Macaca mulatta: one gene and its partner. The protein of the gene in region 1 interacts with the protein of each later gene in a biochemical or structural test. Links are inferred from orthologs where the notes say so. Each region holds a gene or a part of one and is shown in the gene's direction. Other genes may lie near its edges.

Region 1 (14,432 bases):
TGGGAAGGGGTGAAGCCCCCACTGTGGCCACATACCTGGGACTTCCTTCTCCACCTAATGGTGCCCCAGCAGCCGCTAAGGAGTCTGCTGGGTCCTACGCTAGGATGGTCCTAACTCCTCCTGCCTTCCAGATCAGACACTCAGCGCTGGGGGCCCCTCGTGTCCTGGGGCTGGAGCACTGTCCTGCCCCCCATGGGGGTGCGCTTCTCTCAACAAGCCCGCTCTCAGCTTACCTGGGAGCACATCCTGGCCCTCGGTCACCCATCAGGCCGTCCCTGTGCACCTGGCTCCCACCCTTCCAGCTAACAGCAGGAACTGGGGCGAGGGGTATGTGGGGCAGCAAGGCCTTGGGACTCCAGAGGACCCTGCACTCCACTCTGTGTTCTTGCCTGGGCTTAGGGCCACCCCGTGGTCCTGCTGCCAGATGCCCGGGCCCTGCTGTGTCCTCCATCCTTGCAGGGAACCAGAATGTGGGGGCAGGGCATCAGACAGTGGTGATGATGTCACCTGGCGGGTGCAGAGGAAGCCTGAGGGGCGGGGTGGGGGGCTGGCGCGAGGCCGCCTGTCTAGGCCTTGGCGTTCCCCCAGAACAGCGATGGCAAAAGCAGATGGAGATGTGGAAAAGTACGGGAGCAAGCGGGGTGAGGACTCCACAGGGACCCCTGTGCCCATCCCTGTTCCTGAAGCCCACACCTGAGTCCTGCCCAGGGCAGATGCTTGCACACCATGGGGGGCTGCATCTGGCTCGTGTCTGGGCTGCAGCTTGGTTCTGCTGTCCTGGGCTCTGGGAGCTTGGCTGAGCGGAGTCCCCAAAGCCTTGCTGTGTTTCTGGGCCGTGGGCCGGGGTGAGGGCCGGGAGAAGGAGCCAGCCCAGAGCCTGGCATGCAGGGAGTGTGTGGCCAGCACCCGTGACAGGCGAGGCTGCCTGCTGGCGTGGAAGAAGTGTCCATGGCACCCCAGGCCTGGTCCGCAGTGGGGTGGGCGGGGAGCGGGTGGGCTCTGGGGTCCTCGGCTGACCTGACCCCATGCCTGCCCTGGCTTGTCAGCTCCCAGCAGCAGCCATTCTTGATGGATTTTCCAGAAAATGGGATGTGGCCAAACATTTTCAGGCTTTTTCTTCTTTCCTTCCTCCTGTGGCCTTTGTGGGAGCTGCTCCCCATGCCTAGGGGCAGGTGTGAGAGCCTGTGCCCCCTCCCCAGGGCTGTTTCACAGCTGTGTCCCTTCCAGGGGGCCTGCCTGTGTTCACCGTGGCCTCTGCAGCACCCCTTGCCCCCTAGAGCTGCTGCCTCATTTCTCCCTGAAGCGTTGGTTCTGCTGCCGCTGCAGCCGCTGGCAAGTCCCTCCTCAGGTCTAACTGCCGTTCCTCATGGCACAGTGTCCCCCTCGGGCATGATGCTTGGGCAATGAGTGGGAGTCTGGCTGCCTCACCCTGTCTCGAGAATGGCCTCTTGCTGGTCTTCCAGTCGCTGGCCTGTCCCATCCCACAGTGGGATGCTGTGGACACCCAGCAGTGCGGCTGTGGGCACCCCCGTCCTTACGGGCAGTGAGGAGCACCTCAGCCCATGTCCCCACCTTGGTGTAGAGGAGGGGACGGCAGAGAAGCTGAGTTCAGTTAGGGGGAAAACGGTGGCCCTGCCAGAGGGGCCATTCCCTGTGTGCCTGGCCCCCAGATCCTCTCCCTTCCTGGAGCCCAGGGCACTGGCACAGGCTCTCTGAGTGTCCCAGAGCCTGTGGGGGAAGGGAGCTGCACCCCCAAGCATGCCCCCCATCTGCAGATGGAATGAGAAGCTCCGGGAGCCGGGTGCCCAGCACCTCGTCTATCTGGACACCCAGCCCGGGTCAGGGCCCAGCTCCACCGTCAGTGGCTGGTGCTGCTTCCTGGCATGGAGATGGCCTCGTCTGCTCTGTCCCCCTCAGCTGGGGTGGCCTCTGGTCCCCTTTGTTGGTTCCCCTCTGAAGCCCCTGCCCTGGCCCCGGGTCCCTCCGGGCAGCCTGTGTGTGCGTCTCTCCTGGGCCAGGGTAGGCTGCTATGGGAGTGGAGCTCCGATAAGCAGGGCTGGAGGCTGGCAGGGGCCGGGCGGGCATTCAGGAATGGAGGCCACCCTACCTTAGGCCTGGCTGCCAGGTGGTCATTGCTGGGAAGAGCAGGTCTGGGCGGAGGCACCTGCTGGGTCACGTGTGGGGAGGGTGACACCTGGGGAAGTAGAGGCCCATGGCAGGCGGCTAGGCCTTGGGGGCCTGGGGAGCAAGGGGTTGGCGTGCAGAGCTGGGGAGGGAGCCACAGTCCCTGTGCCAGGTGCACTACTGGGAGTGCGTGGGACCAGGAGGGGCACCCAGGGTGGGCAACATGGTGACCCCGGAGGTGCCTGAGGCCGAGGGAACATGGAGTTCTCGGTTTGCCCTGGCTCTCTGGCTTCTCACCTGCTTGTCACCAGCACCAGGACCTGGTTTGTACTCAGGCAGCTCTGAAAAGAGAGACATGCTGCCGCCCTGTGGTTTCTGTTGCTTTTTCTCCACTGACTACTGACATGGACTGTCTTTCCCACAGCTGTGACCAATTGTGCTTCTTTTCATTGCCTGTTTTTTTTGGGTTTTTTTTTTTTTTTTAGTTTTCCTTTTTTTCCTCCCTCCCTCCTTTTTTCTTTTTCTTTTCTTTTCTTTTTTTTTTTTTTTTGAGATGGAGCTTCACTCTTATTGTTCAGGATGGAGTGTTGGAGTGCAGTGGCACAATCTCAGCTCACTGCAACCTCTGCCTCCTGGGTTCAAGTGATTCTCCTGCCTCAGCCTCCCGAGTAGCTGGGATTACAGGTGCCCACCACCACACCCAGCTAATTCTGTATTTTTAGTAAAGATGGGGTGTCTCCATGTTGGTCAGTCTGGTCTTGAACTCCTGACCTCAGGTGATCCGCCTGCCTTAGCCTCTCAAAGTGCTGGGATTACGGGTGGGAGCCACCGCACCTGGCTCCTTCCCCTTCCCCTTTTCCTTCTCTTCTCTCCTCTCTCTCTGTCCTCTGTTTCTTTCCTTTCTTTTTTTGTTTTCTTTTCTTTTCTTTTTTTTTTTTTTGAGACGGAGTCTCTCTCTTTTGCCCAGGCTGGAGTGCAGTGGTGTGATCTCGGCTCACTGCAACCTCGGCCTCCCGGGTTCACGTGATTCTCCTGCCTCAGCCTCCTGAGTGGCTGGGACTACAGGCGCCAACCACCATGCCCATCTAATTTTTGTATTTTTAGTAGAGACGGGGTTTCACCCTGTTGGTCAGGATGGTCTTGATCTCTTGATCTCGTGATCCACCCACCTCAGCCTCCCAAAGTGTTGGGATTACCGGCAGAAGCCACCGCACCCGGCCCCTTCCCCTTCCCCTTCCCTTTCTCCTTCCCCTTCCCCTTCTCTTCTCTCTCTCTGTCCTCCCTTTCTTTCCTTTCTTTTCTTTTTTTTTTTTTGAGATGGAGTCTCGCTCTGTCGCCCAGGCTGGAGTGCAGTGGTGTGATCTTGGCTCACTGCAAGCTCCGCCTCTGGGGTTCATGTGATTCTCCTGCCTCAGCCTCCCGAGTGGCTGGGACTACAGGCCCCCACCACCACGCGCGGCTAATTTTTGTATTTTTAGTAGAGATGGGGTTTCACCCTGTTGGCCAGGATGGTCTCGATCTCTCGATCTCGTGATCCACCCACCTCAGCCTCCCAAAGTGCTGGGATTACAGGCGTGAGCCACCGTGCCCGACCTCTTTTTTTTCTTTTTCTTTCAAGACCGGGTCTTGCTCTGTCACCCAGACTGGACTGCAGTGGCACAATCAGAGCTCACTGCAGCCTCGACCTCCCTGGCTCAAGCGATCCTCCCGCCTCAGCGCCCCGAGTAGTTGGAACTACAACTATACACCACCATGCCTGGCTGATTCTCTTTTTTTCGTTGTAGAGATGGGGTCTTGCTATGCTGCCCAGCCTGGTCTCAAACTCCTGGCCTCAAGCAGTCCTCCCTACTCTGCCTCTCAAAGCACTGGGATTACAGGCATAAGTCACCACACCCAAATTCCTTTTCTTCTTTTTAACTGGAATAGTTGACTTTTTCGTTCTTAGCTGTGTTGGGAGAGTATTTTTGGCCTTCAATATGTCATCTAAGTTGCTAGTGCTTTTCTCAACTTGTAGTTTGTTTTCTGATTTTATTTATATTTTGTGTAGAAGTTGTATATTTTAGATGGAGTTAGGTCTGCTGGTCTTTGATGTTTTATTTATTTATTATTTATTTATTTTTGAGGTAGAGTCTCGCCCTTTCACCCAGGCTATGGTACAGTGATGCGATCTCAGCTCACTGCAGCCTTGACCTCTCTGGGCTCAAGCGATTTGTCTCACCTCCGCCTCCCGAGTGTTTGGGACCCCAGGCGCATGCCACCATGCCTGGCTGATACGTATTTTTTGTAGATATGGGGTCTCACTGTGTTGCCCAGGGTAGTTTCTAAATCCTGGGCTCAAGCGATCCTCCCGTCTCAGCTCCCACGGTGCTGGGTTACCGGCGTGCGCCACCGTGCCCGGCCATCTTGGATGTCTCGTTTCTCCTGGGTTTATGCCTCAAGATGGTGCCTGCTCCCTGTGCTCCCTGGTAGCCTGGTAGTGAGCCTGCTTCTCACACATTCATACCTGGTTGTGGTCCCACAGTGGGACCACCCTGCTGGGTTAGGAGCAGGAGATGGGGGCCCTTGGGTCTGTGTAGGGGCTGTGGACAGGGTTGGGAGGCCTTGGCTCTGGGGGGGACTGTGGACAGGAGATGGGAGTCCTTGGCTCTATGGAGGGTCTGTGGACAGGGGACAGGGGGCCTTGGCTCTTGGGGGCGACTGTGGACAAGAAATTGCAGGACCTTGGCCCTGCATGGGATGGGTTGGGGGTCTGTGCCCATCCTGGCCCTGGGTGGACAGGTCTGTGTGGCACTCGGCATAGGGCTGCGATGGGTACAGAGGGCTGAGGCCCCCAGGCCTCTCCTGGCTTGGTTTCCCCAGATGAGCGTTCATTTGGGTCTTCCATCAGAAAGACCCCTCCTGACCTCAGGGAGTGGGGAGCTCAAGGGTGGGAGGCCATAGCTTGGGGTTGCTAAAAGTGTGTGGGGTGGGCCCAGGGATGGCCTGGCCTACTAGGGGCTCTGGCCCTGACCCACTGCCACTCACTCCTCAGAGACGTCTCCCATAACTTGCTCCGGGCGCTGGACGTCGGGCTCCTGGCGAACCTCTCGCAACTGTCAGAGCTGTGAGTGTCCCCCAGCCTCGCCAGCATGCAGGGTTCATCCCAGATGGGCCGGCGGCACCGCCTCTTGCTGCTCGGCTGTGGGGGCTTCCATCAGCTTTGCCGAATCCCCCTTCTCTTCCAGGGATATAAGCAACAACAAGATTTCTACGCTAGAAGAAGGAATATTTGCTAATTTATTTAATTTAAGTGAAATGTAAGTTGTGGTTCTTTGGGTGGGTGTCAGTGGCTGGACCCCAGGCCCCCAGCATCCCTTCTGCCCTCCCAGTTGGTCTGTGTCCCATTCCAGGCTTGAGACCAGATCCTGGGGGCAGTTCACTGCCTGCTTGGAGCCCCCCAGGGCCGGCTTGGTTGGGGCAGGGGAGGCGGTGCTGTCAGCGTGGCTCCAGGGCCTGGTTGCCGGTAAGGGGCTGGTGTAGACCCTTCCCACCAGACCTGGTCCCCAACTCCTGCCCCTGCCTTGCAGAAACCTGAGTGGGAACCCGTTTGAGTGTGACTGTGGCCTGGTGTGGCTGCCGCGATGGGCAGAGGAGCAGCAAGTGCGGGTGGTGCAGCCCGAGGCGGCCACGTGTGCTGGGCCTGGCTCCCTGGCTGGCCAGCCTCTGCTCGGCATCCCCTTGCTGGACAGTGACTGTGGTGAGTGCTAGTGGGTGGGGCCAGCTCTGTTGCTCCCAGCCAGGTGGGACCTGGGCCCTGCAGACACCTGGGAGGGCCTCCGGGCCAAGAGAGCAGCATGGGAGCCTGTGAGTGTGGCGGGTGGATGGGGGGCATGGGGTGGAGCCAGGAGGAGGGGAACCCAGGGTCTAGCGGCTGCCTCTTCTAGGTGAGGAGTATATCGCCTGCCTCCCTGACAACAGCTCAGGCACTGTGGCAGCAGTGGCCTTTTCAGCTGCCCACGAAGGCCTACTTCAGCCAGAGGCCTGCAGTGCTTTCTGCTTCTCCACTGGCCGGGGCCTTGCGGCCCTCTCGGAGCAGGGCTGGTGCCTGTGTGGGGCAGCCCAGCCCTCCAGTGCCTCCTTCGCCTGCCTGTCCTTCTGCTCTGGCCCCCCGCCGCCTCCTGCGCTCGACTGTGGGGGCCCAACCCTCCTCCAGCATGTCTTCCCTGCCTCCCCAGGGGCTGCCCTGGTGGGGCCCCATGGACCCCTGGCCTCTGGCCAGCTAGCAGCCTTCCACATCGCTGCCCCGCTCCCTGTCACTGCCACATGCTGGGACTTCGGAGATGGCTCCCCCGAGGTGGATGCCGCTGGCCCGGCTGCCTCGCACCGCTATGTGCTGCCTGGGCGCTATCATGTGACGGCAGTGGTGGCCCTGGGGGTCAGCTCAGCCCTGCTGGGGACAAACGTGCAGGTGGAAGCGGCACCTGCTGCCCTGGAGCTCGTGTGCCCGTCCTCGGTGCAGAGTGACGAGAGCCTCAAACTCAGCATCCAGAACCGTGGCGGTTCAGGCCTGGAGGCTGCCTATAGCATCGTGGCCCTGGGTGAGGAGCTGGCCCGAGGTGAGTGCCTCCTGCCCACCTCCCCTTCCTCCCCAGGGCCATCTGGGTGGGGCAGAGCCTGGTACCCCCATCTTAGGCCCACACTGACCACTGACACTCTCATTCCCACTGGTCTCCAGTGGTGCACCCGCTTTGCCCCTCGGACACGGAGATCTTCCCTGGCAACGGGCACTGCTACCGCCTGGTGGTGGAGAAGGCAGCCTGGCTGCAGGCACAGGAGCAGTGCCGGGCCTGGGCTGGGGCCGCCCTGGCCATGGTGGACAGTCCCGCCGTGCAGCGCTTCCTGGTCTCCCGGGTTACCAGGTGCCTGTCCCCACCCCTGAGGGGCCAGAGGTTGGGGGATCTCCAAAACACTGGGGCAGAGCCCACGGCTGGGGAGGCTTAGGTGGAGACAGACGGGAGCTGGGCCGGCCCTGGTGAGGAGATGGCGCCGGCCGGCAGGGCCGTTGCGTCAGCTCTGCAGATACAGAGACTGACGTGAGCTGGGGACAGCCTCTGGACCCTCCTGGGGCACGCCACATGGGAGGTGGCCTGCACGGAGATCCCTGCCGGTGCCCACAGGCCCCATGAGTGGGTGCTGCTGTGAGCCTGGGCTGGTGGGCCTTGCTCTCTGGGCTCTGAGCCTCAGTTTCCCCATCTGGAAAGGGGGACAGTGATGGGGCTCTGGACGGGCTACTGTGAGGGTAGGAGGATGGAGGAGTGCCCTGAGCCCCCTGCCATCCCACACTCGCCCACAGGAGCCTGGACGTGTGGATCGGCTTCTCGACTGTGCAGGGGGCGGAGACGGGCCTGGCGCCGCAGGGCGAGGCCTTCAGCCTGGAGAGCTGCCAGAACTGGCTGCCCGGGGAGCCACACCCAGCCACAGCTGAGCACTGCGTCCGGCTCGGGCCTACCGGGTGGTGCAACACCGACCTGTGCTCAGCGCCACACAGCTACGTCTGCGAACTGCGGCCTGGAGGTGTGCAGGGGCCAGGCGGGGGTCCTGAGACACTGGCTATGGTTAGGGGTCTGCCGAGGGCCCACGGTGGAGGTGGAGGAGCTGGTGGGAGCTCTCGGGCTGCTCAGTCCCCAGTCTGTTGGCCCTGGTGTCCTGGGCCCTGGCCCGACGCCTCACTGCGCACTCACCACCCCAGGCCCAGTGCAGGATGCCGAGAACCTCCTCGTGGGAGCACCTAGTGGGGACCTGCAGGGACCCCTGACGCCTCTGACACCGCAGGATGGCCTCTCAGCCCCGCACGAGCCCGTGGAGGTAGTTGGCCCTCTGCGTTCTAGAACCCACTCTCCTGCTTGCCCCTGGAGGCCTTGCCTGCCCTGCCCACTGTGGGCATCGCTAAAAATCTTGGGGGCCTTAATGCTGCTTGGGCCTAGTGAAGATGGTTGGGAAAACCCAGAGTGCAGAGAGGAAAGTGTTGACTCACGTTACCCCCAGGCCTTTTCTCTGAGTGTTTGCGAGTTATTCCTGAAAGGCAGGTCGGGGTCCTGCTGCCCATGGACAGTTTCCATCGGAGTCTTCCTCGTGAGCGACAGGAGCATGGCATGTGGGGGTCTGAAGGCTCACTTCCCTTCCTTCCCCTCTTTCTGGGGAAGTTTGGGTCAGGGGAGTCTGGGCCTCAGGCTGGGGTGGAGTTTGTGGAGCTGAGGCGGCCCCCTACCCTCCAGGTCATGGTATTCCCGGGCCTGAGTCTGAGCCACGAAGCCTTCCTCACCACAGCCGAATTTGGGACCCAGGAGCTCCGGCGGCCTGCCCAGCTGCGACTGCAGGTGTACCGGCTCCTCAGCACGGCAGGTGGGACTCTGGGGTGGTGGGCACCGCAGGGCTCGGGGTGGCCTCTTTGAGCTCTCACGTCTGCTGGTCCCGTGGCCACCAGAGCGGTCCCCTGTCTCTGGTGGACAGAGCTGGGGTTCCAGAGACACCAGCTCGTTCCAGGTGTCCCAGGGATGGATCGGGTCGGGCCTGCCTGGGGGCCGGCCTGGGTCAGTCGGCTGGCCGGAGGCAGGGACACAGCACTGGTCTGGGAGTGCTGCCCAGGCGGGGAGACCTGTTCTCACAGCAAAGCCAGGCTTGCCGGTGCAGGCAGGTGGGCATCTCTGACGGTGGCCGGTGGGCGAATCAGGGCCCCAACAACCCTCCCTTCCTCGCAGGGACCCCAGAGAACGGCAGCGAACCTGAGAGCAGGTCCCCGGACAACAGGACCCAGCTGGTCCCCGAGTGCATGCCAGGGGGACGCTGGTGCCCTGCAGCCAATGTCTGCGTGCCGCTGGACGCCTCCTGCCATCCCCAGGCCAATGGCTGCACGTCAGGGCCGGGGCTGCCCGGGGCCCTCTATGCGCTATGGAGAGAGTTCCTCTTCTCCGTTCCTGCGGGGCCCCCCGCGCAGTATTCGGTGTGTGGCCCTGACCTGAGTCTGTCCCCTGCATCTCCTCAGGCCACCTTCCTGTCTGCTGCCCAAGGTCTGGGTCTGCTCACCCGACACACCCAGCCTGCAGGCTACTCCCATGTCCCTGCCACTTCCAACCTCTGACCTCCAACCTCCGACCTCTGCAGTGCTCTTGCCCCTCTCCCAATGGGAGAAGCTCTCGCCTGGGCTCTTGGCACGTGCTGTGCTTCCTTGTCCCCTCTCCTGGCACAGCTGCTCCTTCCTGCCTGCCAGATCTTGGCCTGTGTCCTCTCCCCGTGTGTTCCCCTGTCCGCAGCTGTCCTGCTTGTCCCTGTCATGAGCTCCGTGGGGAGTTCCCTGAGGCCTGGCTGATGAAGTGGGGAGCCCTGCTTGTCCCCCCTCCTCCCTTGTGCAGGGGTCCACGGGCCATGACCACGAGGACGTGATGCAGCCCTGCCTCCCTTGCCACAGGTCACCCTCCATGGCCAGGATGTCCTCATGCTCCCTGGTGACCTCGTTGGCTTGCAGCACGACGCTGGCCCTGGCGCCCTCCTGCACTGCTCGCCGGCTCCCGGCCACCCTGGCCCCCAGGCCCTGTACCTCTCTGCCAACGCCTCGGCCTGGCTGCCCCACTTGCCAGCCCAGCTGGAGGGCACTCGGGACTGCCCTGCCTGTGCCCTGCGGCTGCTTGCAGCCACGGAACAGCTCACCGTGCTGCTGGGCCTGCGGCCCAACCCTGGGCTGCGGCTGCCTGGGCGCTATGAGGTCCGGGCAGAGGTGGGCAATGGCGTGTCCAGGCATAACCTGTCCTGCAGCTTCAACGTGGTCTCCCCAGTGGCTGGGCTGCGGGTCATCTACCCTGCCCCCCACAATGGCCACCTCTACGTGCCCACCAATGGCTCGGCCTTGGTGCTCCAGGTGGACTCTGGTGCCAACGCCACGGCCACGGCTCGCTGGCCTGGGGGCAATGTCAGCACCCGCTTTGAGGCTGCCTGCCCTGCCCTGGTGGCCACCCTTCTGCCCGGCTGCCCCTGGGAGACCAACGATACCCAGTTCTCAGTGGTAGCACTGCCGTGGCTCAGTGAGGGGGAGCACGTGGTGGAGGTTGTGGCGGAAAACAGTGCCAGCCAGGCCAACCTCAGCCTGCGGGTGACGGCGGAGGAGCCCATCTGTGGCCTCCGTGCCACGCCCAGCCCTGAGGCTCGTGTGCTGCAGGGAGTCCTAGTGGTGAGTACGGCTGAGGCTCTGCCGCCAGCCCCCAGGCAGGTGCCCACAGACAGGGTGCCCACACAGGGCGCGAGGCCTGGCTTCCTAGTGAGAGCGGCAGCCCAGTTACTGGGGACGTCAGCCCTGGGCAGGTCCTGCTGGCTGGCTCCTCAGGCTACCTGGTGGGCTCTAAATTCCTGGAAAGTCACAGCTCGGACAGCGGCTCCGCTAACACATTCCACTGTCTCATTTCATGAAATGAATTTAAAACTCCGCCCCCTGACCTCACGCGAACCCCCGTGAGTCTGTCACACCCTCTGCTGTGTTCTCGCCTGGCTAAAGCGAGTGGCTTTTGAGGTGAAGACTGAACCTCTGATGGGAAACTGCGGGCTGCCTGCGGTGCTACCATGCTGGGCACATGCGGGACAGGGCTGTCTCCGTCCTGTGGGTGCCTGCCGCTGCACCAGGGGCTTTGGGAGGGGCCGTTTCTGATGGCCCTGGCATGACCTGTGCAGCCTGTCCTGGGTTCTGTCAGCCGATGTGGGTCCTGTCCCTGTGAGGCCGGTGTGTCTCCCTTCATTGCTCCGAGCTCTCTGGCTGAGGAGGTGGGGCAGGAGCCCCAGGAGGGTCTGAGAGGACTCAGAGAGAGGGGGACTCTTTGTAGCTGGTACTAGGTCTGCTTTACAGATGGGGAAACTGAGGCACAGAGAGGTTGAGGCATCAGTAGTACAATGTGGCTGGTTGGAGAGCCGGATAGTCAGTGCCCCCGCCCAGGCTTGGCTCCCATGGCATGCAGAGCCCCGGGCACCTCCTCCACTCTGTGCCCTGCGTGGGACTCTCCAGCCCAATGGGAGGTGTGTCCAGGAGGCGACAGGCCAAGGGCAGAGCGGTCCTCCACAGAGTCCAGGCTGACACTAGTCCCCCCGCAGAGGTACAGCCCCGTGGTGGAGGCCGGCTCGGACGTGGTCTTCCGGTGGACCATCAACGACAAGCAGTCCCTGACCTTCCAGAACGTAGTCTTCAATGTCATTTATCAGAGCGCAGCGGTCTTCAAGCTCTCAGTAGGTGGGCGGGGGGGTGGGGAGGGGAGGGGATGGGGCGGGGGTGTGAGGGGAAGGGAGGAGATGGGGAGGGGAGGGGATGCGGGGGGGGGGTGTGGGGAAGGGATAGGCGGGGGCGTGGGGAGGGGAGGGGATGGGGCGGGGGTGTGAGGGGAAGGGAGGAGATGGGGAGGGGAGGGGATGCGGCAGGGGTGTGGGGAAGGGATAGGCGGGGGCGTGGGGAGGGGAGGGGATGGGGGGGCCTGATGGGGTTGGGGCGGGCTTCACCTTCACCTCTGCTTTCTGCTCTGCTTTCTGCTGCCTGAGGACGCTGCCGTGGCTGTGGGTGAGTGGAGGGAGGGACGCCAAGCAGGGCCGGGCCTCTCACCTGCCGCCTGTGCCCACTGACGCCTGTCCCTGCAGCTGACGGCCTCCAACCATGTGAGCAACGTCACTGTGAACTACAATGTCACCGTGGAGCGGATGAACCGGATGCAGGGCCTGTGGGTCTCCACAGTGCCGGCCGTGCTGCCCCCCAATGCCACGCTGGCACTGACGGCAGGCGTGCTGGTGGACTCGGCTGTGGAGGTGGCCTTCCTGTGAGTGACTCGGGGGCCGGTTGGGGGGTGGGCACCAGGCTCCTGTCCCAGCCCCAGTCTCAGCTGAGGGCCCCCACGCCAGGGGGCTGCTTTTCTGAGCCTCGGTTTCCGTCTGTTGGGAGGTGCTGGGTGCACAGGAGCCCTGAGGCTGCACGGGAGCGGGGAGAGGCCTCAGCCCAGCCTGGTGGGCCCTGAACAGAGGCCCAGGGCATGACTGCAGGGTGGAGCCTTGGCTGGGTCCCAAGCACCCCTGCCCTGCCACCGCGCACCTCTGTCCTGGTCCACTCACTGCCTCCCACTGCCCTGGCAGGTGGACCTTTGGGGATGGGGAGCAGGCCCTCCGCCAGTTCCACCCTCCGTACAACGAGTCCTTCCCGGTTCCAGACCCCTCAGTGGCCCAGGTGCTGGTGGAGCACAATGTCACGCACACCTACGCTGCCCCAGGTGAGGGATGAGGGGGTGAGAGGGCTGCTGCCTTTCAGGCCCTGAGCATGGGCACCTCCCAACCCCCCAGTCAAGCTGCCCCCCTTCCTCCCCAGCAGCCCCCCTTCCTCCCCAGCAGCCCTCACTGTGACTCCACCTGGGCTGATGGCTTAGGCTCTTACTGGGGTGAGGAAGGGGCCAGGCATCGGGGGGAGTGGACGGGGAAGCTGGGCCCCCTGAACTGCCCCCTGGGCCTGGCTCTTGTTGCTCTGCTGCCCTGAGAGCAGCTGCACTTGGAGGTGGCACTGTCCTCACCTGGCAGCTCTCAGTGCTGCCGCACCTGTGCTCCATCCCGCACGTGGCCTGGGAGCCTGGGACCCTTAGGGCTGGGCCGCAGGTGTAGCCGTTCACCCTGGGCTCCTCAGGCGGGAGCTTCTGCCAAGCGGGTAGGGAGCGGGTGGGGGTGCCACGGCCGCCCCACTTGGGCCTATCCCCACAGGTGAGTACATCCTGACCGTGCTGACGTCCAATGCCTTCGAGAACCTGACGCAGCAGGTGCCTGTGAGCGTGCGCGCGGCCCTGCCCTCCATGGCTGTGGGTGTGAGCGACAGTGTCCTGGTGGCCGGCCGGCCCATCACCTTCTACCCGCACCCGCTGCCCTCACCTGGAGGTGTTCTTTACACGTGGGACTTCGGAGACAGCTCCCCTGTCCTGACCCAGAGCCAGCCGACTGCCAACCACACCTACGCCTCGAGGGGCACCTACCGCGTGCACCTGGAGGTCAACAACACAGTGAGCAGCGCTCTGGCCCAGGCGGATGTGCGTGTTTTTGAGGAGCTCCGCGGGCTCAGTGTGAACATGAGCCTGGCCGTGGAGCAGGGAGCCCCCGTGGTGGTCAGCGCTGCGGTGCAGACTGGCGATGACATCACGTGGACCTTCGACATGGGGGACGGCACCGTGCTGTCGGGCCCCGAGGACACAGTGGAGCATGTGTACCTGCGGGCGCAGAACTGTACAGTGACCGTGGGTGCGGCCAGCCCTGCCGGCCGCCTGGCCCAGAGCCTGCACGTGCTGGTCTTCGTCCTGGAGGTGCTACGCATCGAGCCCGCTGCCTGCATCCCCACGCAGCCCGACGCGCGGCTCACGGCCTACGTCACTGGGAACCCGGCCCACTACCTCTTTGACTGGACCTTTGGGGACGGCTCCTCCAACACAACCGTGCGGGGGCGCCCTACGGTGACGCACAACTTCACGCGGAGCGGCACGTTCCCCCTGGCGCTCGTGCTGTCGAGCCCCGTGAACAAGGCGCATTACTTCACCAGCATCTGCGTGGAGCCGGAGGTGGGCAACGTCACCCTGCAGCCAGAGAGGCAGTTTGTGCAGCTCGGGGACGAGGTCCGGCTCGTGGCCTGTGTCTGGCCCCCATTCCCCTACCGGTACGCCTGGGACTTTGGCACCGAGGAAGCCGCCCCCGCCCGTGCTGGGGGCCCCGAGGTGACATTCACCTACCGAGACCCAGGCTCCTATCTTGTGACAGTCACCGCGTCCAACAACGTCTCTGCTGCCAATGACTCAGCCCTGGTGGAGGTGCAGGAGCCTGTGGTGGTCACGGACATCAAGGTCAACAGCTCCCTCGTGCTGGAGCTGCAGCAGCCGTACCTGTTCTCTGCTGTCGGCCGTGGGCGCCCCGCCAGCTACCTGTGGGATCTGGGGGATGGTGGGCGGCTGGAGGGTCCGGAGGTCACCCACGCTTACAACAGCATAGGCGACTTCACCGTCAGGGTGGCCGGCTGGAATGATGTGAGCCGCAGCGAGGCCTGGCTCAATGTGACAGTGAAGCGGCGTGTGCGGGGGCTGGTTGTCAACGCCAGCCGCACGGTGGTGCCCCTGAATGGGAGCGTGAGCTTCAGCACCTCGCTGGAGGCCGGCAGTGATGTGCGCTATTCCTGGGTGCTCTGTGACCGCTGCACACCCATCCCTGGGGGCCCTACCATCTCTTACACCTTCCGCTCCGTGGGCACCTTCAGTATCATCGTCACAGCTGAGAACGAGGTGGGCTCTGCCCAG
Region 2 (14,532 bases), on another chromosome or scaffold:
TATAAAGGAAAGAGGTTTAATTGATTCACAGTTCAGCAGGACTGGGGAGCCCTCAGGAAACTTACAATCATGGCAGAAGGGGAAGCAAACATGTCCTTCTTCACATGGTGGCAGCAAGAAGTGCCAAGCAAAAGGGGAAAAAGCCCCTTATAAAACTATCAGACCTCGTGAGAACTCACCCACTATCATGAGAACAACAGCATGGGAGTAGCCACCCCCAAGATTCAATTACTTCCCACCAGGCCCCTGCCAGGACACGTGGGGATTATGGTAACTACATTCAAAGTGAGATTTGGGTGGGGACACAGCCAAACCATATCAGCTATCTTTTGGTTTCAAGTTGCATGGAATTTGTTTTTTTCATCCTTTCATTTTAATCTGTGTGTATCCTTAAAGGTGAAAGGGGTCTCTTCTAGCCAGTGTGTAGTTGGGCCTATTTGTTAATACACTTTCTGTCTTTTGATTGGATAATTAATCCATTTACATTCAAGGTAATTATTGATAGGTATGGACTCATTATTGTCATTTTGTTATTTTTTTCTTTGGTTGTTTTGTGGATCCTTTGTTCCTTTGTTCCTCTCTTACTGTCTTCCTTTGTGATTAGGTGATTTTGTTTAGTGGTATGCTTTGTTCTTTACTTTTTATCTTTAATGTATCTACTGTAGGTTTTTGCTTTGTGGTTACCACAAGGCTTATATAAAATATAACAGGCTACTTTAAGATGATAATTATTTAATTTTTATTGCATAGAAAAACTCAATACTTTTATTTTACCCATTTTATGTTAAAAAACTTTTCACTCTGAGTAAAGAATGTTGATATTTTATGTTTTGATGTTTGAATCTACATCTTTTTATATTGTGCATATCTTAGCAAATTATTGTAGCTATTGTTATTTTTAATAGTGTTGTATTTTAACCTTTATACTAAATATAAATGATCTGCACACCACTATTACAGGATTAGAATATTCTGAATTTGACCCTGTGCTTACTTTTACCAGTGAATTTTATACTTTCATACATATTTTTCTTACTAATTAGAGTCCTTTTCTTCAGCTTGAAGAAATCTCTTTAGCATTTCTTGTAAGGCAGTTCTGGTGGTATAAACTCTGGGAAGCCTTTATTTCTCCTTCATTTCTAAAGAATAACTTTGCTGAATATCAGTAGTCTTAATTGGCAGGATTTCTATTTTTTTTTTCTTCAGCATCATGAATACATAATCCCACTTTCTCCTGGCTTATAAGGTTTCTGCTGAGAAATACACTGCTAGCCTTTTTAAAACTCCTCTATGTGTGATATGCTTATTCTCTTGCTGCTTTCAGGATCCTCCCTTTGTCTTTATTTTTTGACAGTTTGATTTTAATGTGTCTTGGTGTAGTCCCATTTGGATCGAATCTGATTGGAGACTTTTGACCTTCCCATACAGTGATATTTATATCTTTCACTAGATTATATCTTTCACCAAAACCTTGCCTTTACTAGAAATACAAAAATTAGCTGGGCATGGTGGCAGGTACCTGTAATCCCAGCTACTTGGGAGGCTGAGGCATATCTAGGTGCTTTGATGTTGTGTGCATATATATTTATAATTGTTATATACTGTTGATGAATTAACCCCTTTATCATTACATAATGACCTTCTTTGTTTATTTTATCTGATATAAGCATAGCTACCTCTGATATCGTATTAATAAAGACATCCTGAGGCTGGGTAATTTATAAAGGAAAGAGGTTTAATTGATTCACAGTTCAGCAGGACTGGGGAGCAGAGGACCAGGAGGCAGAGGTTGCAGTGAGCTGAGATCGCGCCACTGCACTCCAACCTGGATGACAGAGTGAGATTTCCTCTCAAAAGAAAAAAATAATAGTAATTTTTCTGGCCCTTTATCTCTTTTCTCTCCCTCTCGAAATGGTATAATTCAAATATTTTCTCTTTTGATGCTTTCCCATAAATCATGTAAGCTTTCTTTATTCCTTTAATTTTTTTTTCTGTTTTCTCCTCTTATTTACATATTCTCCTCTTATATATTTTCAAATAACCTGTCTTCCAGTTCACAGATTCTTTTTCTTCATCAATTTTACTGTTGATGCTCTCTATTGTATTTTTTATATCATTCACTACATTTTTCAGCTCTAGGATTTGATTTTTAAAGATAATTTTGATCTCTATTAAATTTCTCATTTCATCATTTATCATTGAATTATTTCTCCATATTTCCTTCAAGTTTACTAAGTTTCCGTAAAACAGTTATTTTGAATTCTTTGTAAATCATTTCATAGATCTCAATTTCTTTAGGATTAGTTAGCACTTTATTTTCCTTGTTTGGTGGTGTCATGTTTCCCTGATTTTTCTTGAACCTTATTGGTATGTGTTGGTGTCTGTTAATTTGAATAAACAGGGACTTATTACAATCTTTGCAGACACACTTTATCTGGAAAACCTTTTACCAGTCAGTCTGTCTAGAGATTCTGGGCATGCTATCTGGTGTGGTTCACAGGTAGAGTTACTGCTGGATTTCCCAGGGAGCCTGCCCTGGTGCCCAGGTCTACGGGGTTGTACCTGGGGTCTGCATCCACTGGGGTGGACATGTTGATTGAGTCCATGGGAGTATGCCTACAGCCTGTGTCCATGGGATCCTGCCCAAATCCTGGGTCTATAGGGGCTGACCTAGTTCTGCTGTGTGCTTTGAGCTTCAATCTACAGGGGATGGGCAGGCACTAAGATGGGGCTGGAAACTGGCCTGCACTGGGGTTGCCCTGGAGGCTGAGTCTGCAGGGGCAGGCCTAGGTCCTGGGTCCACCATGGCCAGTCTGGAGCCTGGGTCGGCAGGGTTGGTTCTGCAGTCTCGGTCCATGAGGTCTGGCCTGACATTGGGGTCTACTGGGGTGAGTTTGGACTCTGGGTCTACTGGATCCTGCATCTCTGGGTTATAGCCTGGAAGCAAGGATCATGGGTGTTGGCTTGGTACTTGAAGCCATGAAAGCTAGCCTGGAGCTTGGGGTCTATCAGGATAGGCCTAGACCCAAGGTCTGTTGAAGCAGGCCTGAACTGTGGGTTCACTGGCATATAGGGCCACAGCAGGTGGCCTGGGGGGTGTATTTTTGTGCATGTATAGTTGTTCAGATCGATGTTTCTGCAGGAGTACAAGCATTAGAAAGTCTTATTCACCATTTTGCTGACATCCAGATCCTATAAACTTTCTTAAGGGGAAAAATTATGTTTAATCCTATTCTTACACTTCACATGTATTAAGAACCTACTATGCTGAGGGCTCTGTGCTGATCTTTGGAAATAAAAAGTGAATGACTAAGAATTCCAAATAAATTATGTAGATACTCTGCCCTAAAAGAAGAGGCCATATCTCTACTCCTTAAGTGTGGGCTGCACATAGTGACTTCCTCTCAGAGAATATAGTATGTAAAGGGGAAAAAGAGAGTAAATTTACAGTGGAGAAACCTAACAAACATTACCTCAGCCAGGCGATTAAGATTATCATCAACAGTGACAAATCATGTTGCCTAGTATGTACCCTTGATATAATGTAATGAAAACAAAACTTTATAATCTTCCTTTCCAAAATCCATAACTTTATTTTTACCATGAGAAAAACATTAGACAAATTACTACAGAGGGGTATCCTACAATATATCTGACTGGAATTCCTCAAAACCGTCAAGGTCATAAAAAACAAGGAAAGTCTGAGGAAGTGCCATAGCCAGAAGCCTAAAAAGACATGATCACTAAATATATTGTGGTCTCCTAGATGGGATCCTTAAACACAAAAAGCACATTAGTAAAAGCTAAAAAAAAAAAACTCTGATAAACTATGGACCTCAGTTAATAATTTACCAATACCAGTTCAGTAATTGTAGAAAATGTATCATACTAAAGAAAGATGACAATAGCAGGAGAAATTGTGTGTGTGTGTGTGTGTATTGTTCTCTATACAGTTGACCATTGAATAACACAGGTTGGAACTACATGGATACACTTATATGCACATTTTCTTTCACCTTGACCACCCTTGAGACACAAGATGAACCTTTCCTCTTCCTCTTCCTCCTCAGCCTATTCAGCAGGAAGATGAAGAGGATGAAGACATTTATGATGATTCACTTCCACTTAATGAATAATAAATATGTTTTCCTTATGATTTTCATAATAAACTTTTCTTTTCTCTACTTTATTGTTTGACTACAGTATATAATACATATAGCATACAAAATGTGTGTTAATTGTTAATGTTTTGAGAAGGCTTCTGGTCAGCAGTAGGCTATTAGTAGTTTTTAAAGAGTTAAAAGTTATATGTGGATTTTCAACTTTGCAGGGGGTCTGCTCTCCTAATCACTGTGTTACTCAAGGCTTAGTGTACTATCTTCTGAATTCCTCTGTAAATCTGAAACTGAAGGAAAAATAGTCTATTAAAAAACTACAAAAAAGTGAATGAGTAATCTTTGTCCTCTTACAGCTCAGCTGACAAGAGACTAAAACCAGGAAAAAATTATAATATAGTGTCATATATGCAACAATATAGGTTTGAACAGAGAACTTGCCAACCCAACCAAAACTTTTAAGATAAATTATCTTTTCAAGTCAGTCATAATTTAAAATATTTGAGTCTCTAGTAGCACCCAGCATGTATCTTACTCAAACTCAGCATTCAAATATCTAGCAGAATGATGACGAGGACTGCTCCCATTTGTGAAATGACCTGCACATGGGATACTTAAATAATTAGACTTAAGTGAAGGTTAACTATGCATGGTATCACCACCCTAAAAGGTGAAAGTAAGTTTCAATTCAAATTTTGCCATATACATCTTTATTACACAAAATCTGTTTTAGATGCCCAGTGAAATCCCAGGGACATTTCCTTTTATGTGCTTCAACCACACTTTACATGAAAGGTTTCTTGAGAGACAACAGAGAGAGTTCCTTTAGAGTCAATTGTAGGCAAACAGAATCATTAAAAAAAAAAAAATCAGCCTAGGCACTATACTCTGCCCTAAAAGAAGAGGCCATAGCTCTAATTCTTAAGTGTGGGCTGCACATAATGACTTCCTCTCAGAGAATATAGTATGTAAAGGGGAAAAAAAGAGTAAATTTACAGTGGAGAAACCTGATCAACATTACCTCAGCCAGGTGAGCCAGATGAGTAAGGCCTCATCTCTAAAAAAGTTAGTCCCAGATACTACTTGGGAGGCTAGAGGATCACTTGAGCCCAGGTCAAGGCTGTAGTGAGCCCTGATGGTGCAGCTGCACTCCAGCCTGGGTGACAGAGCAAGACCCTATCTCAAAATACAAAACAAAACAAAACAAAAAATCCCCACAAAAACCAAAAACCAAAAAAACCCCCAAAACCTCCAAAAACTTAAAGGCTGGACACTTCACCATTTCTTCATTTTGAAAGGTAAAGGGTGAAAGGTCATGAAATAGTTATATCTGGCATATATACAAATCAGAAATATCTCTACTTGAGTCAATACCATCAATTTCATCCATGAAATGAGAACCCATTACTAAGATTCATCATGCTAATGAACAGAATCCTCAGTGTGGACAGAAAGTTAAGCAGAAGCTCTAGCACCAACAGTCTTTGGAGTACGACCTTTATTATTTTTTATTTTTAAATTTTTATTTAAAGCTAGCCGACCACTCCTGCAGTGTGAATTCTTGATCAGGGCAAAGGGAGGGATAAATCTAGCAGTCATACACTTTTATCCTCCTAAGAAGGCTTAACTATTTTAAAAGTACAGATACCATACCACTCCTTTTCTCGAGTTATCTTGCTATTATGAAATTGGTAGTCTGGCTTTATTCCTGAGGTTTTTGTTTGTTTGTTTGTTTGAAATGGGGGTTTCACTTTGTTGCCCAGGGTGGTTTCGAACTCCTGGGCTCGAGCAATCCTCCAGCCTCGGCTTCCCAAAGTACTGGGGTTATATTATAGGCTTGAGCTACTGGACCTAGGCCCTAATCCTAAATTTTAATCTGAACTCTGCCACTGTGAGACCTTGGGCAAATCACACTACTCCCATGGATCCCAGTTCTCTCCTCTGAAAATGAGGGCACTGGGTTAGGTCTTTCTTGCTCTTTCCATCCATGTAATTCATCTATGAGCTAGCTGTGTTTTAGCTGACGTAGAGGAAAACCATAAATATAAAAGCAGAGACACCAGCTTTAATTCGTTTGACGGTCAAATTACATACACCATAAATATTAGCCTCATTGAGTGATCAACTGTTAGCTTTAGCCAAGTATGTTTAGGATTACACTTAAAAAATATTTTAGTGTTGTACGCTTCATAAAGGAATCCACAACTACTAGTGATGCTAGTATAGACTTCAGTTATAGCAGAAAAAAAATCCCCAAGGTAAGAATACTAACCACTGAAGGAGATCACCTCGTTAATTCTTGACCCTTCTAACTCTGCTTGCCTTCTTTCAGGGTTGGTTTCAGAGCGAATGGTCCTCTCTGTTCAGCCTTAAAACACGGCAAACCTAAGTCATGTTTCCAACAGCAGTCACCATATTCCCTCACGTTTCCCATTTGAAAAACCCCAAATGTAGCATTTTTTTTTCTCTTAAAATTCCCTTGAATGATTCTTTAAGCTCCAGGCATCTGTGGGGATGTTCCAGGTACCGCCCCACAATGCTACCTCCTCTTCTTAAAAAGAAGTCGCTCAGCTGGGGCGGGATGGCGCTGCGCGGCGCGCACCTGAGCGGCCGGGGCTCCCTGAGTCACGGAGGGCGCGACAGCGGCCGGGCTTCTCCCCAGCACCGTTCTCTGTCACGGCCGCCGCCTGACCAACACCCCGCTCCTCGCGTAGGCATGTCTCGCTTCAGAAACCCCAAGTCGCCTTACGCTCCCTGGTCCTTCCCCTGCGGGGGAAAAAAACGCTAGTGCAGCCCGGAGCTCTCTTCCGCTCCACCCTGCGCTGCCCTTGCTGCCCTCCTGCCTCCCGCGCGTCCTTCCCCGCGCGTCGGCCGCGCGCCCAGGTGTTCCCGCGCCTGTAATCCCCTCCGGCCCGCGCCTCCCGGCCCGCCCTGTGGGTCTCCAGCGCCTGGGCCCGCGCTCTCGCCGCGGGTCCTTCCTCCTTTCCCCACCCAGCCCCGCCCAACCCCCGCCGCGCTGGGGCTCCCGGCCGAGCCTCTCCTCCCACCTCCGTCCCCCACTTCCCTCCCCAAGAAGTGCTATTTTTAGCAAATCCTCCGCGCGCCGCCACCCGCTCAGCTCGCAGCTCGCAGCCGCCCGCTGCCGCCCTCCTGAGCTCCCCCCGCGCGGCGGCGGCGGCGGCGCGTCCCGCACATCGCGCAGCGCGCACCAAGCCGGCCGCGCCGCGCCCGCCGCTCTCTCCGCGGTCTCCTCCTCTAGTGCCCGCCGCGGCCGGTAAATCTCGGCTGGAGGAGCAGCGGCGGTCCCCGAGTCAACTTTCATTCCCCTTTTGCTTCTGCCTCACCATTCTCTTCTCCTCCTCGAAAGATGGCTGTTTGGAGAAGGGGGAGAAGTTAGGAGGTCGCCGGCGCGGAGCGAAGGAGGGCGCGACAGCCTCAGCAGGGGCGGGCGGAGGTGAGTGGCACCACGGCCGAGTCCCCGGCTGGTGCTCGAGGAAAGCCCTGGGAATTGGGGGCCACCGGTCCTCAGGATGCGCCGCGGTATTCCCTGCTCGGGTTCCGCAGGTTAACAGCATCTCAGTCCGGACTCTGATGCCACTTGCCTCGCATCTCGCAGCCCGGAGACCGGTGGGTTTAACGGAACCTTTGTCAGAAGTTGGGTGCTAGGTTATCTTTGTGTACAGACCCTGACATTTGGCAAACCGAGGGGAGCGGCCGGTGGCGTGATTCTCTCCCGCCCCCAAACACACCCAGTTTATGTTGGAGCCGAGCTATGAATGAAAAGTTTGTACTGGCAACGTGTTGCTTGAGGGGAGCAACGCTTATTGGGGGGTACCTTTGATGTTTCCTGGGGGACTTCAGTTTTAAGTCAATACATCAGAATCCTGGGTTTTAAGAAAAGTTCAAGAGGCTGGAGGATGGGAGATAAAGCAGTTCCTTGGCTAGTGGAAGGAGAGTGATGAATCGTAAGCTTATTAAGGTTAACTGGCTAATTAGATGCCATACGAGGGTGTCACAGCGGGGACTAAAAGGAGCAGAGGACGGGGGCGTTCCCTGAGCGCCTAGCAGGCTGCGTTTGTTTGGCTTTGAAGCCGTCACCCACTTGTCCGCAGTGAGAGGTGCTGGTGTCAGGCCTGTGTGTCTGTGATGTGACAGAGCGGGACCCAGCTCTCTCCAGATCCGAGGCGCGGTTGTCAGGAGAGGTGGCCTGCGATAGAGAGCTGAGGATGTAGTTCCCGTGATGTGGACTTGGAGAATTCTCTAGTAAGTCTCCTATGCTCCAATTTCAGGAAGATCTGTCAATTGTTTTTTTCTTCCAGGGAGGTGTGTGTAATCTCCTAAAAGGAACTTTCAGCTTTAAGTAACTGTAGCATTTTGAAATCATGTGAGAAATGAGATATCTACATATATTCATTATTACATGTATGTGGGGAGTGTATGTGTGTGTAAAATATGGGAAAGGGGTAAGAAAGGCTTAAAAAGTTTAACTTCTACCCGAAAGGAAAGCGAAGAGTTAATTCTTTTCTCCCCAAATGGTATAACAATGCATATACAACTAAATACTCTTGCTGTGCTGAGATTTCTCATAAGGAGTAAGATTTAGCAATTACAAGTATTCAGAGCGCTGTCATGTTTTCAAATCTTGCAGGCACTATTGAAATCTGGAAAAGGGGAGTACATACATAGAGAACCCATATTAAAGGAAAAAAAATTTAAAATCTTCCAAAAGAAAACCTTTTGACATTTGAAAAGGCCTGGATGTTATTTTCCGATGCTCCAGAAATCTTTCTAATCCTGTAATTAACAACAGCACAGAATAAGTTGCATTTAATAAATTAGAAATCATGTTTAAAGGATATCTTTTGAACTTCTCTTTGGTACTTTTGATATTTATTATGGAAATTATTGTGATTGAAAATTTGTTGTTTAATATATTTGCCTTTTACCACAGATAATTAGTCCTCCTTATCCTTTTAAACCACTGTTCCAGTTTGGACTAATTTAATTCCCCAAACATCAAATTACTGATGTTCCTTCTGGAAACCATTTATATTTAAAATGGCTAATAAGAATATTGTATTTCCGAAACAACGTAATTTAGTCAGTTGTAAAACTTGCTTCTAATTTGTTCTCATCCATTTCGTTTGAATGGGGCACATTTGAAGAAGAGCAGCGTTTTCTTAGAATATGCCATTTTCTGTGTGGGAAAAAGCTAGTGTTTTCATATACGTTTTAGCTATTAAACAGAGGCATGTAAGGTGGGAATCCTGTCTGGCCTTTCATAAACTGCCAGCCAGAGGGAGAGAGATGCTTTCTTAGCTCTGCTCGTGAATTGATTATCTTTACTACAGAATGGACATGATTAGATGCACATAAGGTTGTGCAGAAGGAAGTTAAGAGTTTTAAATTAAATACCAGTTTATGGGTAGGAGACAGAATTTTTTTTTTTTTTTTAACCTTGATCTTCCTGTTTCTTTCCTTCTGCAGTTCAGCCTGTTGGACTGGTCTTTATTGGAGAGTCAGACCAGCACTCTGAGTAGAGAGTGTTTAGCACACTAAACTGCCATCTTCTGTAAAAATAATGATGGCTCTTTTGCAATTAAAAGATAATTTTATACATGGTTATAGATTTTTGTGATTGGTGACCAAATTAACTATAACCGTTATTATAGTAGAAAGAGTTTTATGAAGTTATTGCCACTATATATAAATAATTATATATTTAAGATATGGATGAACTCTATTTGAGGTTTAGGAGTTTTGAATGTTAAGGCCAGCTGACCAGATAAAAACCTATTTAATTAACTAATTTGAACGACACCAGAATTCAGATTTTTATTAATATCTACATCTAGGTTTATGTAGCTTTCCTTTCTTTTTATTAGAATTACTTCTTTTTTGAATTTGTTTAAATATTACAACATATTACATTATAATTTGTACACGCTCAGTGGGGAAGGTGCAGGTTATTCTTAAATAGAGATGTGGAGAATTAGCTAACAAGGAGAGTCATTTGAGAAACATATGGACATCATAAAATCCTTCTGTATGTAGCATCTGTACCTTCTCATTAGTGAAATATTGTAGTTATGGACATTTTTTGTTATTACATCCAAATGTGGCTTTTTATTTTTGCTTCATTGGTTTTTTTTGTTTTAAAATGTAATTTGTATTACTGTTTAAGTTGGTGGGGGCTTTTACTGCTTGAAGCCTTTTGCTTTCAATAGTTATCATACTTAATTTTTACTGCATGCATCTGCAGATATATACAATTGTTTCCCAGTTTGTTATTATAATTCTTACACTTTTTGGTGATTCCTCAAAACATTTGAGAGATAGGTAGGATGACATATAGTTCTCATTTTAGGAAGGAGGCAGCAGGTACACTGATATACCCAACATTACACAATAGTGAATCAGTGTGAAGCTAAGTGTAACATCTATATTTCCTGTATTTTAATGATGAAAGCAAGCTGCTCCTGTATCTTATGATAACTTCATAAATTTATGTATTTCCAGATTTTTAAAGTGGTCATCTTTATATATGTGCAGATCAGATTTTAAATCAGTCAATATAATCATAAGGGGATGGATCATACTGTTGGCCTGTTGATGGGAGAGAACCATGACTCTAATAGCTACTGCTGAAATAAACAAACAAGCGCACACACCTCTGTAGAATATTTGTTCTTGCAGTCAATCCATAGTCCACATATTTCTCTGCCCCTGCTGGCCTCACCCTATCAACTACCTACTGCCACTCTACTGATCAAAGCAGCCCTTGAAGTTTATCAGCACAGTTGTCAAGCTTGAGGATCATTAGCCTCACTAGCAAGAAAAGTCAGAACCTGATTTTTGGGAAGAGAGAGTATTGATGGGGACAGTAATGGAGTGTCCACTCCAGAGGCAGCCAGTAATGGTCAGAGATCATATTCTGGGTGTCGGGATGTCCATTTCTCTCATCAGCTCTGTGTCTTTGGCCGAACTTACAGATATCAAAGTGAACAGAAGGTTTATGGAATTATCTAGTCATTTCTGTCCATGTAGACCTCATATCCGAGTAAATCAGACTTTTTTAAAAAAGAAAATGGACAGAAACTTGTTGTTTTTCTACATCTCACCAAATCTCCTCTCCTTCAAACCCCACTAGAATTTTTTTTAGGATAATTGCCCACATGATTTGTAACAGCCAAAGTGATAGACTTCTGATATTGCATTATTACAATTAACAGTGGAATATATTATCTAGCTTGCAGAAGGAAGCATTGTAATTCTGTAGAAAATGGTAATATGTAATCTCATGCAAGTATTTTTGAATAAGCAGACAGTACCAAGAGCTCTCTATTAAGCTAATATATTTATTTTTACTCTTCCTTTCCCTAAATGTACGGTTTATAGGAGCTCATCCAAATCATTAAGTATCAACTACTGAAAAAAAGTTCATATGTGGTTTCCTGTTTACTACGATGAATTTTGTTTAGAGCTTCAAAGAGAGGAAAACTACTATCTATTGTTTGCTGCACCAGAGAGAGTATAATGTGTTGCTGGTGAGCATGAGGAGCGCTGAGGTTGCTGGAAATGGTACTTTCTTCACATCTCTGCAGAACCTGTGATAAGAAGGAGATGGGTGTGGACTGGTTTAGTTCTAGTACAACAGTGATGAGTGGAATTTGAAGTGGAACTGAAAGAAGGGTAAGATTTGGATAGTCTGTGTGTCACTCAAGGTATTCAGTAGCAAGTCATGGAAACTAACTTTAGTTAATATAAACATTAAATAAATTTATAAGAGGATATTAACCTTGTTTTCTCTTGCTGTGTAACACATTTCCACAAATTTAGCTGCTTAACACAACACCCCTTTATCATATCAGTTTCATTGCTCAGAAGTCCACACATAGCTTAACTAGGTCCTCTGGCCAGAGATCTCCTGTGTTGGCTAGGGCTGCAATCTCAACAGAAGATCAATGGGAAAAGATCCACTTTCAAGCTTTTTTCTCTTTGGCAGAATTTATCTCATCATGGCTTTAGAACTGAGGCTTCCATTTTCTTGCTGGCTGTCAGCCAGAGGCTACCCTTAACTCTTAGAGGCTGCTGTTATTCTTTGCCATGTGGCCCTCTCATAGGCACTGTTACAACATGGCAGCTTACTTTTTTTAAAGCTGGCAAGGAAATCTCTCTTGCTCCAGTCTGATAAGAAAGAGTCTTATATACTATAATATAATAGTGAGAGAGTGACATAAGACTATACAAGGGCATGACTCCTTGGAGGTCAGCTTAGGATGTGTCCACCACATTGACTAGCTCATAGAATCTCTGGTATGGGGTGGGCACAGTGGCTCATGCCGGTAATCCCAGCACTTTGGCAGGCCAAGGTGGATGAATCGTTTGAGTCCAGGAGTTCAAGATCAGCCTGGACAACATGGCGCAACCCTGTCACTACAAAAAAAAAAAAAAAAAAAAACACAGAAAAAATTACCTGGCCATGATGGTGTGTGCCTGAAGTCCCAGCTAGTTGGAAGGCTGAGGTGGGAGGATCACGAGTCTGGGAATTTGAGGCTGTAGTGAGCCATGATTGTGCCACCATGCTCCAGCCTGGGCAGTACAGAAAAACCCTATTTTTTTTTTTTAAAAGAACCTCTGGTATAGTCCGCAGACTTGACTTTGAAGCCACTCAAGTAGAAACAAGGCTCCAAATCCCTCTGCAGAATTTGTCCTGTGAGGTAGTGCTGCTGTCGCTGTTGGCATATAGCTTCTACAGTGGAATGTGGGCTCCATATCATAAAAGAGAGGATTCTCCACATATAATAATGGGGTCCCATTGTCCCTTGCGAAAAAGAATGACAGGTGTCCACTGCTGAGGGAAAGAAGAAAAAATGATTGCTTAATGAAATGTTTGAGTTTTTGGCCAGGATAGGCATGATAACCTTCTAGAGATGGGATTGAATTGGAAAGTGGCTGAAGTCATGTGACTCCTTGGAAGAGAAAACTCTTCCGGAATTTAGGAGAATAATGGTAATGAGGGTTCATTTATGAGTGGTGGTGATAAGAAAGGAGTAGAAAACCTTTGAAAGATGAATCACTACACATACATTAGTCTGGGTATTGACTTAATTAGTCCCTAAATATATGCCATGCATGAAAGACTTTTAAGAGACTGATTCCACTAATCCTTGCAGGGAACCAGCCCTGTGACTTGGAGGCCTGCAGTGTGGTCTACCCTCATTTTATAGAAAGGAGCAGAGCTAAAGGACCATTGTACTATATTTGTGGCCCAGTGACTATGGGGTGCTATGTAGGGGGTTGGGGGACTATTGAACATACCCTGTGCTCTAAGCACTTTGCCAGACATATTTTAACTATTTTGTATCTCAAACTCTGGCAGTTTAGTTTATATTTCCCTAGTTCTGCCTCCCTTCTCCCCTGGCAGGTGTGTGGAGACTTTGAAAGGCTAAATACTTTGCCAAGGGTTGTTCAGCTAGGGGTGGCATTAGGTTTTGAATCCAGGTCTGATTCCAGAGCCTAAAGTCTTGTAGTACACATCCCATACTCAAAAGCAGTAAGTGAAGTTTCCAGGGAGAAAGCCTGTTACTCACATTGAAGTGGATGTCAGTGCTACAATTGCTGTTGGGTTCCATCATTCACCTTGAGAGAACTGGATACTGCAAGATGAGGGTTAAAGAGAGGAGTGAGAGAGTGCGCTGTACCATGCCTTCTTTTATTTTCTCAGCAGGAAGTACATATTATAGGTCTCTCTCAGATCTAAAAGTAAGAATAGGGAGTAGAGGCTATGCATTTTTATTTCTACTTATCATTTTGGTTAAAATCAAAAGCACTGTGTCTCCTTTCTTTCCTATATGTAGATTTCTACTATTAAATCAAGTAACATTATGAATTCTCATTGCCTCTTTGGCCACAGGGTTCTTTCTATAGCTTTTTCAGTAGATGCCACTGTTTTGATCTTGAAAAGTCTATTGAGACATTCTTCCTTTGTTCTTCTATTACTCAGTCCCTCTTTCTACTCTGTGGTGCCTCTGAAATCTATTCATAGATATTCTACTTTTTTCTTCTGTTTTATGTACTTAAATATCTTCTTTAAATGGATCTGGTTCCATTGATCAGAATCATTGGCCCAGATCCCCTTGCTGCTCCACTGTACCCAGGAAGTCTTATCTATTTTCTGTTACTTTTACTGAGTTTTACTCTACGTCCCAGCACAGTATGAGGAAGCCGTTAAGATTTCTCTGGGTATCTGAACCAAAATGTAAACATTTAAAACTGAATACCTCAAGAAAGTGGTGTGACTGGATTGTGTTAGATCAGGTGCATACCTATGGACTACTCCACTGTGGCCAGGCAAAGGGAGTTTTATTATTGCTCCATCTGGGTTCAGGTGTCCACCCTTCTAGAATATTACTGT

The links.
Region 2: the proteins of PKD1 (region 1) and HDAC9 form a complex in vitro, tested with the Homo sapiens proteins (2 studies listed by BioGRID, with this or other methods). The link is inferred for Macaca mulatta from reciprocal best matches to the Homo sapiens genes PKD1 and HDAC9.

What each region holds. Positions count from the first base shown.
Region 1 is NC_133425.1:3,339,424-3,353,855, reverse strand, and holds part of PKD1 (polycystin-1), read left to right. Parts: intron 1-5,155; coding exon 5,156-5,227; intron 5,228-5,348; coding exon 5,349-5,420; intron 5,421-5,690; coding exon 5,691-5,860; intron 5,861-6,047; coding exon 6,048-6,719; intron 6,720-6,838; coding exon 6,839-7,022; intron 7,023-7,456; coding exon 7,457-7,677; intron 7,678-7,852; coding exon 7,853-7,968; intron 7,969-8,378; coding exon 8,379-8,505; intron 8,506-8,861; coding exon 8,862-9,103; intron 9,104-9,568; coding exon 9,569-10,324; intron 10,325-11,232; coding exon 11,233-11,364; intron 11,365-11,766; coding exon 11,767-11,942; intron 11,943-12,252; coding exon 12,253-12,386; intron 12,387-12,864; coding exon 12,865-14,432. UniProt on the Homo sapiens protein: Component of a heteromeric calcium-permeable ion channel formed by PKD1 and PKD2 that is activated by interaction between PKD1 and a Wnt family member, such as WNT3A and WNT9B. Both PKD1 and PKD2 are required for channel activity.
Region 2 is NC_133408.1:110,193,389-110,207,920, reverse strand, and holds the start of HDAC9 (histone deacetylase 9), read left to right. Parts: upstream 1-7,306; 5' UTR 7,307-7,569; exon of another isoform or gene 7,570-7,742; intron 7,743-14,532. UniProt on the Homo sapiens protein: Responsible for the deacetylation of lysine residues on the N-terminal part of the core histones (H2A, H2B, H3 and H4).